Linked DNA regions of Caenorhabditis elegans. The protein of the gene in region 1 interacts with the protein of each later gene in a biochemical or structural test. Each region holds a gene or a part of one and is shown on either strand. Other genes may lie near its edges. The genes, in order: flp-9 and npr-22.

Region 1 (6,686 bases):
AAAACTTTCAAGCTTTGCAAATTCTTAAAAAATGGAACACGCCTTTAACTCTTTTCCCCCTATTCATAAAGATTTCTCCGGTGCGGAATAACAATATCTCTCTTCCGGACGGACACGCACATCACTTTTATATTTGGAAGGAAAAAATGTTCCGTGTTTCCAAAATTAGTACCAACCGCTCTCTACTCGAAAACGGAGTATAGAAGAGGAGTTCAAAATGAAAAATTGAAGACACTTTGTCATTGGCTTTATGGGTTTGTTACTGAAGAGTAGGGGCAGCTGGAGGAGGAGGAGAACAAGAAACATCATTTTCTCGTATTTTCGACAAGGACATGCAACATTGTTCTTTCTTGCAAAAATGGGAATATTTTTTGATTTGCAAACCTCCTAATCGGCATGTTAACGGCTGAAGCGTTTTGAGGGTGTCTCTCACTCGCCCTTTTAACGGTAATCTTGTGTGTCATGTATTGTCACATATTTTAAACCATCAGTATATTTTGTGTTTTTATTATTTAATTGAATTTTTTTAAAGGTAATTTCCGGCCTAGAGTGAGGCGAGGCTGGTAAAAAACTAAAATGAAATTTCAATTCTGATTTCACGGCTGAACTTTTATCGGATCTTTTTCTGAAATTTTATAACAAAATCCCAACATCGAAAAACTTTATGTTTTTAAAAAATTGTTGAAGCTTTATCTATCCGTCTCCCGCGAAAAAAATTCCTAAGAAGTCCCGCCGCTTATTGGCTTAGCCAAATTTTTTCGTTTTTTTTTTCGATTCATATTTTAGGGCTCCCGCTGGAAATTTTTCGGAATACACTATTTTTTTGTGGTCAAAATTTGAGAACATCTGTTACTCTTTAATAAATTCTAGTTCACATAAAAAATTTGAATTGTATTCCAATCATCGTGCACTTCATTTCAATCACCCACCAGAACTCCCACCTGAATTCAATGAATACTCAGAACGAGTAGAACTTCATATTCAAATTGAATAAACTTTCAGGTTTCTTTTTTGAATACCCAAATAAAGAGATTCAAAGAGGGAGGTGTAACGGGAAGATATTTTTGGTTTTGAATCTGAATAGCTATTATTTTCAAAAAATGATCAAAATAACTTTATTTTGTTAAGGCTGATAATAGAGAAAATATTGGTATTTGGCATTGGGCACATTTTTTTATATCTAAAACTAAAAAGTTAACTTTTTTGTTACGAAATTAGATTTTTTAACATTAGGAACAATAAAGTTTGTCGGTTTTCTTTCAAGTGGACCCGCCTGCCTGTCTTTTAGTCGACATATAGGCTTGCTCTTGCCTTTGCAATTTTGTCAGTTTTCAAGAAATACTGTAAGATTTTATATTTTGAATACCTTCTTAGAATCCCAGGTTTCCTAAAATATCGTATGCGATTTAGATTAGTTTCTGAAATCACAAAAAAAAATCTCTTTACGAGTTCCTAGAGCAGTATTACCAAATATTTCTATTTCAGTGAGTATATACCTATTTACGTGGGCTTTAATGACTTTCAATTATATATTTCTGATTTGTTTTATTAGAATGGGGAAAACGAGAACTCATTGAAACAAAACACATGAAAATTGATCTTGTCAAAAATATTGCAGAAATTTGAGCAAATTGGCAAGATGTGTGGGTGATCTGCTCAAAAAATGTCCTTCTGAGAGAGAAAAAACTAAATTAAAAAGTCATCATAGGCAATTTCATTTTGTCGAGAAATACCATAAATTTTTGGCTACATTTAAAGATTTTTTTAGAAGAATTATATTTTTCTCGCGTTTTTTACCCATTTGCATGTGAATTTTAGAATGAGTTTTTTGCTATTTTTTCGAATTCTCGGCACATGGAAAAATTTGCGTTAATCAATTTTTCTTTATTTCGGTTTCGAGTTTTTTCTCCTGTTTTCCATAAAAATTATAATTTCACTGTACATTTTCCAAATATCTTTCCGATTTTTCCATTTATCAAATCATGAAAAATTTTCCGCGACATATTTAGCACCTAAAAAATATAAGACGGTTAGGCGCGAGGCGGCCAGTTAAAAAGGACTTGAAAGACGGCTTTGTGACGACCAATCTTTAAAATGTTTTCAATAACAAAACCCATAAAGGTGTATTGTCCAAAAAGATTATGACTATTTAGAGGATTATTTAAATCTGATTTTTAAAATAATTGAAGAATTATGTTATTTTTTGGATTTTTAAAAAGTTTTTTTTATACCGGTAAATTCCATTTTTCTTTCCTATTCCTCCTACAATTTGAACTACGATTTTTTCAAAATCTCAATATAAAGTAGATCCTAAATACTTCCTACAGTACCACCATATTTCCCTGAATACTTCCTGATTTTCAAATAAATCTACATAGTAAAGTGCCCCCAACCTACCGAACCCATCATTATCACTTCGAGTCTTCAAAGTGCTCACACGTCATTCTTAAATGTGTGTGTATGTGTGTGCTCAGACTCCGCCCATACGTGTGCTCTCCATTCTCTCTCAGGACTCCGCCCCCATCAAGGCTCACTTCTTTTTCTGGTCTCGTTTCCAGAGAAAAACCCAGCAGCATCGTCTGAAGAAGGGTGAAACATTTTTTGTTTCAAAGAAGAAAAAAATGAATCAATTTTATGCACTATTCCTTGTCGCCTGTATTGCAGCAATGGCAAATGCCTATGAGGTGAGTTAAGATCGGAAAAATATAAATAATCTAAGATCATATTTCTTTCCGCTTCTAAAATTTGTGTGCTGAATTTCTTGAAGCGGAAGGTTCAACTTTTTCGAAAAACGAACAAAATATTATTTGTGCCCCTCCCCCCTGTGCCACCAGGCTCGAAATGAAGCCAATCGTGTGCAAAATAATAGAAAAGGCGCCACCTATAAAATGTGTTTTCGTAAATAAATTTCAAAGTGACTTTCAAGTGTATCTTTGAATTTTTAACAGTAGGCGAATCCTGCCTATTTTTCAAATGTAGGCGTGCCTGCATGTCTGTTAATTACCTAAATTTTGGAAGGTGCTTGTGTAATATACCTGCCCCCGTGGAAATGGTTTGCATTTTTAGGCTTACATTGAAAAAACAGTATTTCTAACATAGAAAGTCTAATAAGTAAGCCTAATTTGGACCAACATGGTCATTAAAATTTTAAAAATGGCTAACATTTTTGGGGCAAAAGACATACCTCAATTTAAGCTGAATTCTGTGAATTTTATTTTTTTAATAGCCCGAATAGAATATTTGTTTTCAAACACAAGATTAGTTTATTTCTCTTCAAAGAAACGTTGAGTCTGGAACGAAATAGCTGAAAAAAAAACGAAATTCGAAATTCTAGGGCTTCGTCTCGTCATCCACTTTCCTAATAATTTGTCGCGATGATTAATTTTTGGAAGCCCATTTTTACCATTTTTAAAAGTTATTACCCCTATCGCAGAATTTAGGTGTGATGAGCATGGTCCGACAGCTACCGGGTTTCGCGCCAAATTATAAAGCATGCGTGTTTTAAGAGGTTAAAAATAGTGCGGCGCGGAACCGGGCAGTTGTCGGCCGAACTTAGAAATTTGAGATTTGTTCAGAAAATGCCACCAGGCTATCCGAATTTTTTCGAAGTTTTTTGACCTACGTGGATATCCGCGCCTTTACATTAACCAACTTAAAGTTTACATATTCTATAACTTCCTTATAGTTTCAACACCTATTTTCATCCAGTAGCAACATCCGTTTTATGTAATACTTTGAAAATGTTAAAGTGAGCCACTAATGAGCACAAGGATTACATTCTTCGTCGTCACCCTTCTCCTTTTATTTTGCTGCTTTCGATGCTTCAGAGTGATGCTCTTGTGCTCAGTCTACCGTTCAAAATCAAATTTTAAGATTCTTCTATCTCTTTTTCGTACAAAAAGTTGATTAAAGTGATGATGACATCATTCAAAGTCACGAGAAGTTTAAAATTGATTGAATAAACAAAACAAAAATCCGTAAGAAAACCTAGACATACCCTATTGGGAGATCGCAGGGCTCACGGGTTGCTCCTGCTACTGCTCGACGACAAAAATCTCATTAGTTTTTATTGGTGCGGCGGGTGTAGATTTGCGGCGTTGATTATACGTGGGAATATGTTAAATTACATACATACTTGAGCTCTATTTTTCAGGAGCCAGATTTGGATGCACTCGCCGAGTTCTGTGGAAAGGAATCGAATCGAAAGTACTGTGATCAAATTGCACAACTCGCCACTCAGCACGCAATCGGTATTAATCAGGTGAGAATGATGACGTCATACTGGGACCTTGAGATATTGGCGGCCACGGTCGCATTGACATTAATATATTCTATATTCTTGAAATAATTTTTTGAAAATTAAAGACAAACTCAAATGTAATGTCCTATTCTAAAACTATGGCCAATTCCATTTTACTTACAAAAAATTCAAATTAGCGCTCAATAAATGCGCCGACCAATCAGCGACCTTGGTCACGCCTTTTGCACGTCGCTGATTGGTCGGCGTTTCGTTTTTTTTAAATTTTAGCGGGATATATTGAAGTTTCAATAATGAAATTTATCTTCTAAAAAACACATTTTGAGGAAAATTTTCGACTGAATAACTTTTTGCACATTTTCGGAATTGGGGAGAAAAACATCTAAGAATAAAATAAGAAAAGGAGCTCCTCAAAAATTGATAAATTCCAAAAATACACGCTTCTCTGAAATGTTAAATTGTGACTAGAAGCACTGAATAATTATAAAGTTCATGTTATAGAATTAGAAAAATTATGATTTAATTTAATAAGAATATGGTAACGGCCTCAACGCGACAGAAAATGTTTTAATGGAGGCTACGAAAAGTGTATGCGCCTTTAAAACATTATTTTTTACACACTATTTTCGAGAGCCTTACTTTACATTTTTTAACGTTTCTAGATCAGAAATGCCGTTGAAAATGTTATATATTATTTGCTTTTTCAGTTAAAGGAAGTTTTAAAATTATAATTTTTGAAAAATCGTAAGAAAAACTAAAAATGGTCATCTCGTGACTTTCAAAAATAAATAAAAACGTCTCGTCTAAAAATTGCGGAATTCCCCACAACTGATAATGAGAAAATATTAATTCTGCCACCAAACCTATAACTTCTTGTATTTATCTAAACAATTCAAGAATTTTCTAATTTGCAGGAGCAAGTCCGAATGGAAAAGCGGAAGCCGTCGTTCGTCCGTTTCGGAAAACGTTCAGGATACCCGCTGGTAATTGATGACGAGGAAATGCGTATGGACAAGAGAAAGCCATCATTTGTTCGATTTGGAAGAAAGTAGATAGATATGTCTTGTTGATTATTCTGGAAACATCTTGGATCTATTTTTGATCTCTCTCTCTCTCTCACACACAGCTGCTCACTACGTTTTCTTCTCGATTGTTCCCATCTAGATTTCTGGCCCTCATACCGTTCATTCATTCTTCTCTCCCATCCCCTTACCCCTCTTCAACTTTTATGGTAACCTGAGAATTTGTGAAAATCAAAAAAAAATCAAGTTTTCATGTTGATATGTGCAATAAAATGTGTTACATGTGTGTGCGTTGGTGCCATTTGAATCAGGAAATTTTTATCATTTTTTTATTTCAAAAGGAATTGCTATTATAAAGGATTATCTCAACAAAACATAAAGATTGAGTTGTTTGCTTTTCACTGAAAAAAACTGAAAATTTGAGAAAAAAAAATCGAAAAATCTGAACTCCCGCGCAGAACAGAAAGCGTCGACCAATCAGCGACAGAGACAACGCCCCTTACGCATCGCTCATTGGTAAGCGAAATAGAGTTTGAGCCTTTAAATGTAAGGTGTACAGTAGTTTCCATTTATACATTTTTGTCTGGAAACCTAATTAAAGCATGGTGAACTAGAAAATTGCATTGCGAAATGTCTAAAAAAAAGTTTTTTTACTGCAAAAGAAATTACTGTACTCCTTAAAGGCACACACTTTTTTTTCCAAATTTTTGTGTCTATCGTTGCATTGGGTTCTCAGTTTTGTGCTCAAATAAAAATAGATTCAATCTTTCAGTGATGCCTGTAATTATTTGAACATTTTAGGAAAAATTGTATTTCTAGATAATTATTATTTTTTGAATATCCCCTTTCGTGTTTCATACCTAACAATATTCCTTCGCGCGGGAATTTAATGATCAGCAAACTTTAAAGTTTTACACACTTTAAGGATGACTTCTTTCTGAATACTTGGGAAAAACAATACTTGATACATGTGTGGGTGTTTTGGTGTCATTTAAACCAGAACATCTTTATCTCAAGTATCGTTAAAAATCTAAATTAGCTTTTTTGAAAAAGATTACTATAAGATGGATTATTTGAACAAAACATAAAGCTTAGAAAGAGCAAAAGTCGTTCAAAAAAGGATAAAAGCACATATTCCGTCATTACCCGATTCCTTTTCTTGAATAATTCACGATATGAAAACGAGAATGAAAATATGAAACACACACACACACATACCTTCCGAATTTATTTTTTATAAATTCTCTCATTTTTTGTGGATTTTGTTATGTGTCTGGGACCGATTGTGGGTTTAGGAGTTTAGTGTTAAACAAAATTTCAGCAGTCATTTAACGACAATAGCAATAGAATTTTGGCGGTCACATTGTATAGATTTCACCTAGTGACAGTTTTTCCTATGTTTGATA
Region 2 (7,335 bases), 4.2 Mb from region 1:
TTCTTGGTAACATCAATTCTTTTGAAAATACTATTATTATCTATTCTCACTATTAAATCAATTTATTGGAAAAATGAGAGTAATCCAGTCTAGACAAAACAGATATTGTTTTATTTTTTTGGAAATTTCTGGAAAAATCCAATCGAGAAAACTTATAACTGACGGTTGTGGTTCTTCTAGTGTTTGAATACCTAAAAGCTAATATTTTCAGTTTTCTGAAAAAACTATGATTTTACTATAAGGACATTTTTTGAATGTACACATAAAGTATAAAAACTGAAAGTATTCTGAAGCTTAATAGTAGAGTACCCCACCCCCATAGTTCTCTTGACCGCATCCTAACTTTTGACCTATATATCTTCTCTTGGCCAATGGACCGTAATCAATTATGCTCTTCCGTTAACAAATATTCTATTGAAAATGTCTTGCAGACTGACAGAAATCCGTGTGAAAAAAGTGAAAAAGTCGGATGAATTATTTCTGAATTCCAGTTTTTGACTAGTATTTTTTGAGTAAAAGTTGTGGTTCTTCTAACTAGTATATGCACGTAGAAAACGCCATCACAAATAAAAATATCATTAATTTTGCTCTTCATTGAATTTCGAAAGTTTTTTTTGAGCAGAATGCACTTGGGTTTTGAACTTTTTTAAAAATTATTCAACAGCTTTCTGAATCTGTCTTGTAATGTTTGAAACCTGATTGTGAATGAAACAAGAGTGAAGTAAAACAAAATAAATTTTAAGTTCGGAGAATTGATTATAAATGTTTATCTTTTTTTCTTTTTTGAAGGTGGATGTGGAGAAGTTGTCAAAAACCATTCCTATGATGCCAAAATGTTCAAATACAACTTTTCAAAATAAAAAGTGTGAAAATTTTTATTGACAGTTTAAAAGTGGCAATTACTGAGTTTTTGCCACTTTTTGCCATAGACGACTTCCAAAAAGCGAAGACTTTTCCAAAGTTTTGAAGCTTACTTGACATGAATGTTTTCTTATTTTCAGTCAACTTTATCTTGTTTTTTTCACAACATCGCACTACATCCAGACACATTTCTGTTGACTCAATATTAATTATTTATTATTTATTATTCATTTTGCAAGGATGTGGTGTTCTTATTCCTATTTTTATATACTTCTCCTTTTTCTTTCAGAAATTCTAGAAATTATTTTTATGCTAATTGAGATGTACATTTGAGACATTTTCATGCCGTGATGACGTAATCTATCTGAATCTTGAGATATCTATGTACATTCTTGCTAATAACGTGAAAGGTGTCATATGTACTGAGGTCTACCTTATCATTTCCTGATTATAACATCATTGAAACATATTTTAGACATATTTTAATAAATTTCAGTTTTTTTTTGTCCTATCTGGTCAATAGTTTTTTCTACAAAAAAATAGACAAATAAGAATTAAATTCAGCTAAAATTATTGAGATATAGTGTTGAAGAATACGATAAAACGACGGTAATCTTTCATTCGATTAAATTCTAGAAACCAATCGCGTATCCAAAATCTTAAATTTTTATAATTAACAGTTAGCTAGAGTTTCTTTATTGGAACATACAATTAGCACAATACAATTGGAAAACTTCGGTTTAAAGAATCTGTAACAATTTTCTTTTACTTGATTTTGTTCAAGTTTCTCAAGTTTTAGCACGTGCTCTAACCCTGCAATAAAAGTTTGTACTTTATTCAAGTATTCATATTGTACTTGTACTCTATCGTATGATCATATTACTCATGTCTAAAACTTCGGTAGACACGCATTTTTCCAACATTTTTCTTCCATAAATTCCTGTTATCTTGCAAAGTTCATTTGTAAACTAATACAACACATGTCTGGCTGATTTGACCTTTCTCATTGAAATTGATGGATCATGTGTCAAAATGGGACCACTACAGATCACTAGATACTACTATCACTATATCACTATTTAAACATGGCAGATTTCAAGAAAGTTTGCCACATTTTCAGATGAAATCATCTTATTAATTTTGATTTCGAAAACAGATATTAGCAGCCTACCTTCTGGATTTTTCGGTTACAATGTACCTATTTATTAATCAAAAACTATCACTTCTGCATTTTGTAATCATTCCCCAATCATCCTTGTGCGAAAAATAGGATAGTTCTTCAAGTTTTTCCCTTCCCTATACTTTTGCCATATATTTTTTTAATTCCCACTGGACTTTCCCAAAAGAATTATTTTTCGAATATACCACACTTTTAACAAATTTTCTGGATTCGGAAACATTATATTTTTTTTTCTACAAAACCGCAAAGACTATAGTCATTTTTCGAGGTCAACAAACATCCAAATATCATTGCGAGCATCCTATGTTCCTCTAATTCTCTCATACTTTGCTTCCGAAAACCCAAGAATCACAAAAAAATCTTGTTTGATCTTTGCCTTATTTTTCCAACTGCTAATTGACCTTCTTCGTTTATATAATTTTTCACTTTATAGAAATTTACTTTTTAATCAATTTCAAACAACAAAATTTGATACACTTTCTTAATATTATCCTTCTCCTACATTCTCATAAATTTGAAGGTTTCTCTTTCAACATTTCTGATCTAAAAAATGTGCGAGAAAATACATTCTTGGTTTCTTCATATTCATTTATTTCTCCGAAATATGTTCTCTTTTTCTTTGTTTTTAATTTTCGGTTTTCTATGAACAAGTGGTCTTCCTTATTTGGAACACTTCCCCAAACTCTTTCCGAATAAATTGTTTTAAATTTCAGATCGAACGATTCGTCATCTAATTCGTGAGCAAATATGGACGAAGGAGGGGGTATTGGAAGCAGTTTGCTCTCCAGAATCACGACGACAGCCTCTGAAATTATGATGCGAAACGAACCGACGACAACTGAAAATCCAGCTGTTCAAGAAATGAATCATATTTATCATTTGACACCAAGTATGAAGGTGAGACTTTTAAAAAATATTCTTATACATTCAAAGTATATCTAAAAATCCAAATTTTACAAGAGTTTTGAAACTTTGAAAAAAGGAACTAAAATTAGTTTTTTTTACATTTCATATTTAGGCAATTTGGCCATGTTTTTAGCCAATTTTACCTGCTGAAAATTGATTTTAACGTGCCATGTACTTTTATTTTAGTTAATTTATGATAGCGTTTTCTTCAAAACTTGAACCGTAAATAAAAAGTTTTGAAAATTTTTCAAGTGCTATCATTATTAAAATTCGGTATAATTTTTAGAGGCCATTTTAAGTGTAAAAAATGAATAAAATTACTACATTATTACCTTTAATATTTGTACCTATTTATTACTAATTTTTTACAGATGTTATGTATTCTTTTCTATAGTATACTTTGCGTATGCTGTGTCTATGGAAATGTGCTCGTTATTCTGGTTATTGTTTATTTTAAACGACTTCGAACGGCGACTAATATTTTGATATTGAACTTGGCAGTTGGTGGGTTTTGTTACTTTTGAATTTTTGAAAACTTTTTATAATTTTTCAAATCTCCAGAACTTATATGAGCTTCTAAATGGATAAGTTTAAAAAATTAATTAATCTAAGATGTTGAGCAAATTTCCCAAAAAAACAACTAAAATTGCAGCTGATCTTCTCATATCAGTATTCTGCATTCCGTTCAGCTATTGGCAAGTATTGATTTATGATGATCAACGTTGGCTCTTCGGCTCAATGATGTGCTCTTTATTAGCATTCCTTCAAGCAATGGCTGTATTTTTATCAGCTTGGACACTTGTCGTTATCAGTTTTGATCGGTGGATGGCTATAATGTTCCTTTTAACTCCAAATATTCGAATTACAAGACGAAGAGCTCTTTATCTGGTAGCTGCCACGTGGATATTCAGTATCCTAATGGCGTTGCCGTTACTCTTCACAACGAGATTTTTCGAAGACCAAGACGGTTTACCGAATTGTGGAGAAAATTGGACGTATTTTGGAGATTCTGGAGAACAAGTGAGAAAAGTGTATTCTTCAATGGTCTTAATTCTACAATATGTTGTACCTCAAGCAGTTTTAATAATAACTTACACACATATTGGAATTAAAATGTGGAATAGTCGAGTACCAGGAATGCAGAATGGAGCAACAAAGAAAATGATCGTTGATCGACATGAAAGTGTCAAAAAGGTGAGATTTCTGGAATTATTAAAAATTTAAGCCTAACCTTTCAAAAACTCCCAGTTTTGATTTATTAGAATAATAAGAATATGGAAATAATGCAACAATCAATGGCTCCTCAGTGCGGTGATGATAATAATAACCATAATCAAAGTCAACCGACCCCTATATTTATAGGAACAATATTCTCATGTGTAGCATAAAAATAATAATCAAAAATCGTTTTTGACATAACCTTTTCCAAATCATTATTAAGTGAAACTTTAAAATTGAAAAAAATTAAATCAAAGTTCGAAGTTATTACATTTTACCTGCCTATTACATGACGGTTTGATAAAGTTGTTCAGTAGATTGAAATATCGTTTTTACTTATTTTTATCAAATACAATAAATATTACCGCGTGAGAAACGAAACCTGTTAATTAAATAAGATTTTTAGCTGGTCCCAATGGTGATTCTCATTTCGGCACTCTTCGCACTTTGTTGGCTTCCTTTACTTATACTGATCAACGTCATTCCAGAATTCTATCCAGATATCAACAGTTGGGGATATATTCTGTATTTGTGGTAAGAAATATTCTTTTAATCTGACTCAATAATTTGGTTTTAAAAATCGCATTTTGAGGTGGTTTGCTCATGGACTTGCCATGTCTCATTCAATGGTCAACCCAATTATCTATTTCATTCGAAATGCCCGTTTCCGTGAAGGATTCTGTTTCTTCTCTTCAAAACTTCTTCCATGTATATCATTTAAAGAACTTCGTCTTTTAACTGATAATACTAGCAGAAGGTATGTCAATTTCTACAAAGTTGTCTGTTTTTGAATTGAAGCCAAGAGTTAGGAGCAATTCAGTTTATTTATGTATCAACCTTATTTGTTGATAACCAGTTTGATAATTTTAATAACTCAACAATATCATTCAGTTTTCGAAACCGTTCACGGTTTTCTGGTGTCATAAATCCGACTTCAAGCGATGAAAAACCTGCTGTAAGGATGTTCTCTAACCCATGTTTTTTGTCCTTCTTGACTTTTTGTTTGGCTTGGCTTTTTTATTTTTACATTTTAAAGTTTATTTTGCACTGCTTCACATGCACTAATATGTTGATTAAGTTAATTTCATTTTAAATTATGAGTATATCGTATTTCCTCTTTTAGTATTGCACACCATTGTTCAACTTTGACAGTGTATATCTCAGTTATCATTTGTTCCATTTAAAAATTGTCAACTAACAAAATATTTTTTAGTTCTTTTTCTATAATTTCGTAGTTAAAGATATAATGATATATTCAAAATAAACCGATATATAACGTTACAAAGTAAAGTTGTCCGGTGCATTACTAAGAGAGGAAATACGGTACGTTAAATTAGCAAAATTAAAAATCTTCTAAGTCAGCCTAGGTCGTTCAGCGCAGTTAATTTGCGATGGACCCATCAGAATCCTAGAGCAGTGATTTATCTACACATCGTCAAAAAAATCGGACATTGCGCATACTGCGACTCGTAAGCTGCCTATAATGAGCACATTGAGCCAGGATTGCTATGAAATCATTGTGCTTGTTTACTGAGTCATTATGTGCCTGTCGCGAATTAACTGCGAACTAAATTTTGCCACCAAATGATAGAGGGAAAACCCCTACTACTGAGAAAGTGTTTGCCGATGAAGTTTAGCGAAACCTAGAACCATAAGAACTTGTAAGTAAAACTTTAAAAACAGTTTTTAAATTCAAATGCTTTACTTCTAAACCCTTTTTATTAATTAAACGCCTCAATTATATCCACTGCCTAGTACACATTTTCCAATCTGATTATTTCCACAACATCGACTTTCTTCCTAGCCACAACCTAATTTTCAATATTTTCAGACATCGCTTACGAGATATTCACGAAGTGGAGTCCTTGACAGGCAAACATGTCGTTCGGCACGTTTCTTCGAAGCCCGACCACTCGTCGTCGTCCGAAACAACTCTGCCAATTCTCTCGCGTAGCTTTTCCCGTATCATTAAGAAAATTGATCTACCATGTACTTGAGTGGAAAGCTATAGAAGACCATAGATTCAAGGTTTTTGTTATTTGAAATTGTATTTTAAAGCATAATTTCACAAATTATGTTTATATTCCATCCATTTTATTGTATTGTAAGAAAAAACCCCTCAGATCTCCTAAGAAACAATTTTATATGAAACATCAATTGTTGTCTGAAACGCTTTTCATACCGGTAAATACTCGCCCCACCAAATCCACGAATCATCACCAATATTTTAAACTTGTACCATACAAATTGCGTGTTTTCATTTTATTTGAATATTTTTTCAAAACTAAATGTAGAAATAAATGTTAGAATACTACAAATTTACATCTGACAGATTTAAAAGAATCCAATGAGTTGACTGAAATTTTGTAAACTGGCAAATTACTGAGCAATTCAGATAAATATTTGATTGATTTCGGTTTCAAGCTTGTAGTTCCACGTGTGAAGGTTTATTTACAGAGATTCGGCATTTGTCTATTTTTAGAAGGGATGCATTTTCCGTGAATTGTATGCAAGTATTTTATTAAAGAAAAATGAAATAAGCAGTCTTGATAGGCAGACACTTATATTTAAAGTATATAGTCACTCCAGAAAACAGACAAGAAAACAATCAAAGTGAACAATTTTTATGCATTTTCATTCAATCTTTATTCTTCAATTTTCTCATACACTTCACAAAAGTAAAGCATATGAAAACCAAAAAACACAAAACACCGTCAGCGACTTGTTGTATGCAGAAATAAATCAGAAATGATTGTCACTTATCCCTTTGTGTTGAGATGTTGTGGCGCCTTGTAAGCCAACTCGTGGACTCCTCCATTGTACAGCTTGGCAACGATTCCGGAACGAGCAGCCGCGAGCCAAATAGCTGAAGCTGAGAGTCCGATTCCGCAACCAATGACAACGGTGTCTCCGACTTTGATTCCCTTGGCGGCGAAGGCTGGAAGTATTCAGTTAACTTCTGCAAATGATATCAACTAACCTTGATCACAATCAGTCTTCTTCTTGAATCCCTTGGCAGCACAAACTTCTCCGATTGGGAAGTGAATCGCATCCTTGCAACGAACACCTTCGGCTTTCGAGTCTGGATATCCAATTGGAACTTTTCCGATAAACTCTTCCTTCGAACGAGCATCCAAGTACTTGATACTAGCCAAGTTATCGAATGGAAT

The links.
Region 2: of the proteins of flp-9 (region 1) and npr-22, one has a biochemical effect on the other in vitro, tested with the Caenorhabditis elegans proteins (one study listed by BioGRID).

The regions. Positions count from the first base shown.
Region 1 is NC_003282.8:12,753,438-12,760,123, reverse strand, and holds flp-9 (KPSFVRF-amide 2), read left to right. Parts: upstream 1-2,553; 5' UTR 2,554-2,621; coding exon 2,622-2,684; intron 2,685-4,153; coding exon 4,154-4,261; intron 4,262-5,172; coding exon 5,173-5,310; 3' UTR 5,311-5,566; downstream 5,567-6,686. UniProt on the Caenorhabditis elegans protein: FMRFamides and FMRFamide-like peptides are neuropeptides. KPSFVRF-amide: Has no effect on somatic body wall muscle, inhibits contraction of vaginal vera muscle, and inhibits the activity of the dissected pharyngeal myogenic muscle system.
Region 2 is NC_003282.8:8,556,680-8,564,014, forward strand, and holds npr-22 (Neuropeptide receptor 22), read left to right. Parts: upstream 1-2,752; 5' UTR 2,753-2,788; coding exon 2,789-2,938; intron 2,939-3,318; coding exon 3,319-3,451; intron 3,452-3,599; coding exon 3,600-4,141; intron 4,142-4,571; coding exon 4,572-4,699; intron 4,700-4,757; coding exon 4,758-4,922; intron 4,923-5,056; coding exon 5,057-5,120; intron 5,121-5,996; coding exon 5,997-6,119; coding exon of another isoform or gene 6,120-6,162; 3' UTR 6,163-6,482; downstream 6,483-7,335. Other genes in the region: mpst-6 (thiosulfate sulfurtransferase), read right to left, coding at 6,925-7,103, 7,146-7,335. UniProt on the Caenorhabditis elegans protein: Receptor for the LURY-1-1 and LURY-1-2 peptides which control food-related processes including feeding, lifespan, egg-laying and roaming behavior. Receptor for flp-7 which stimulates serotonin-induced fat loss.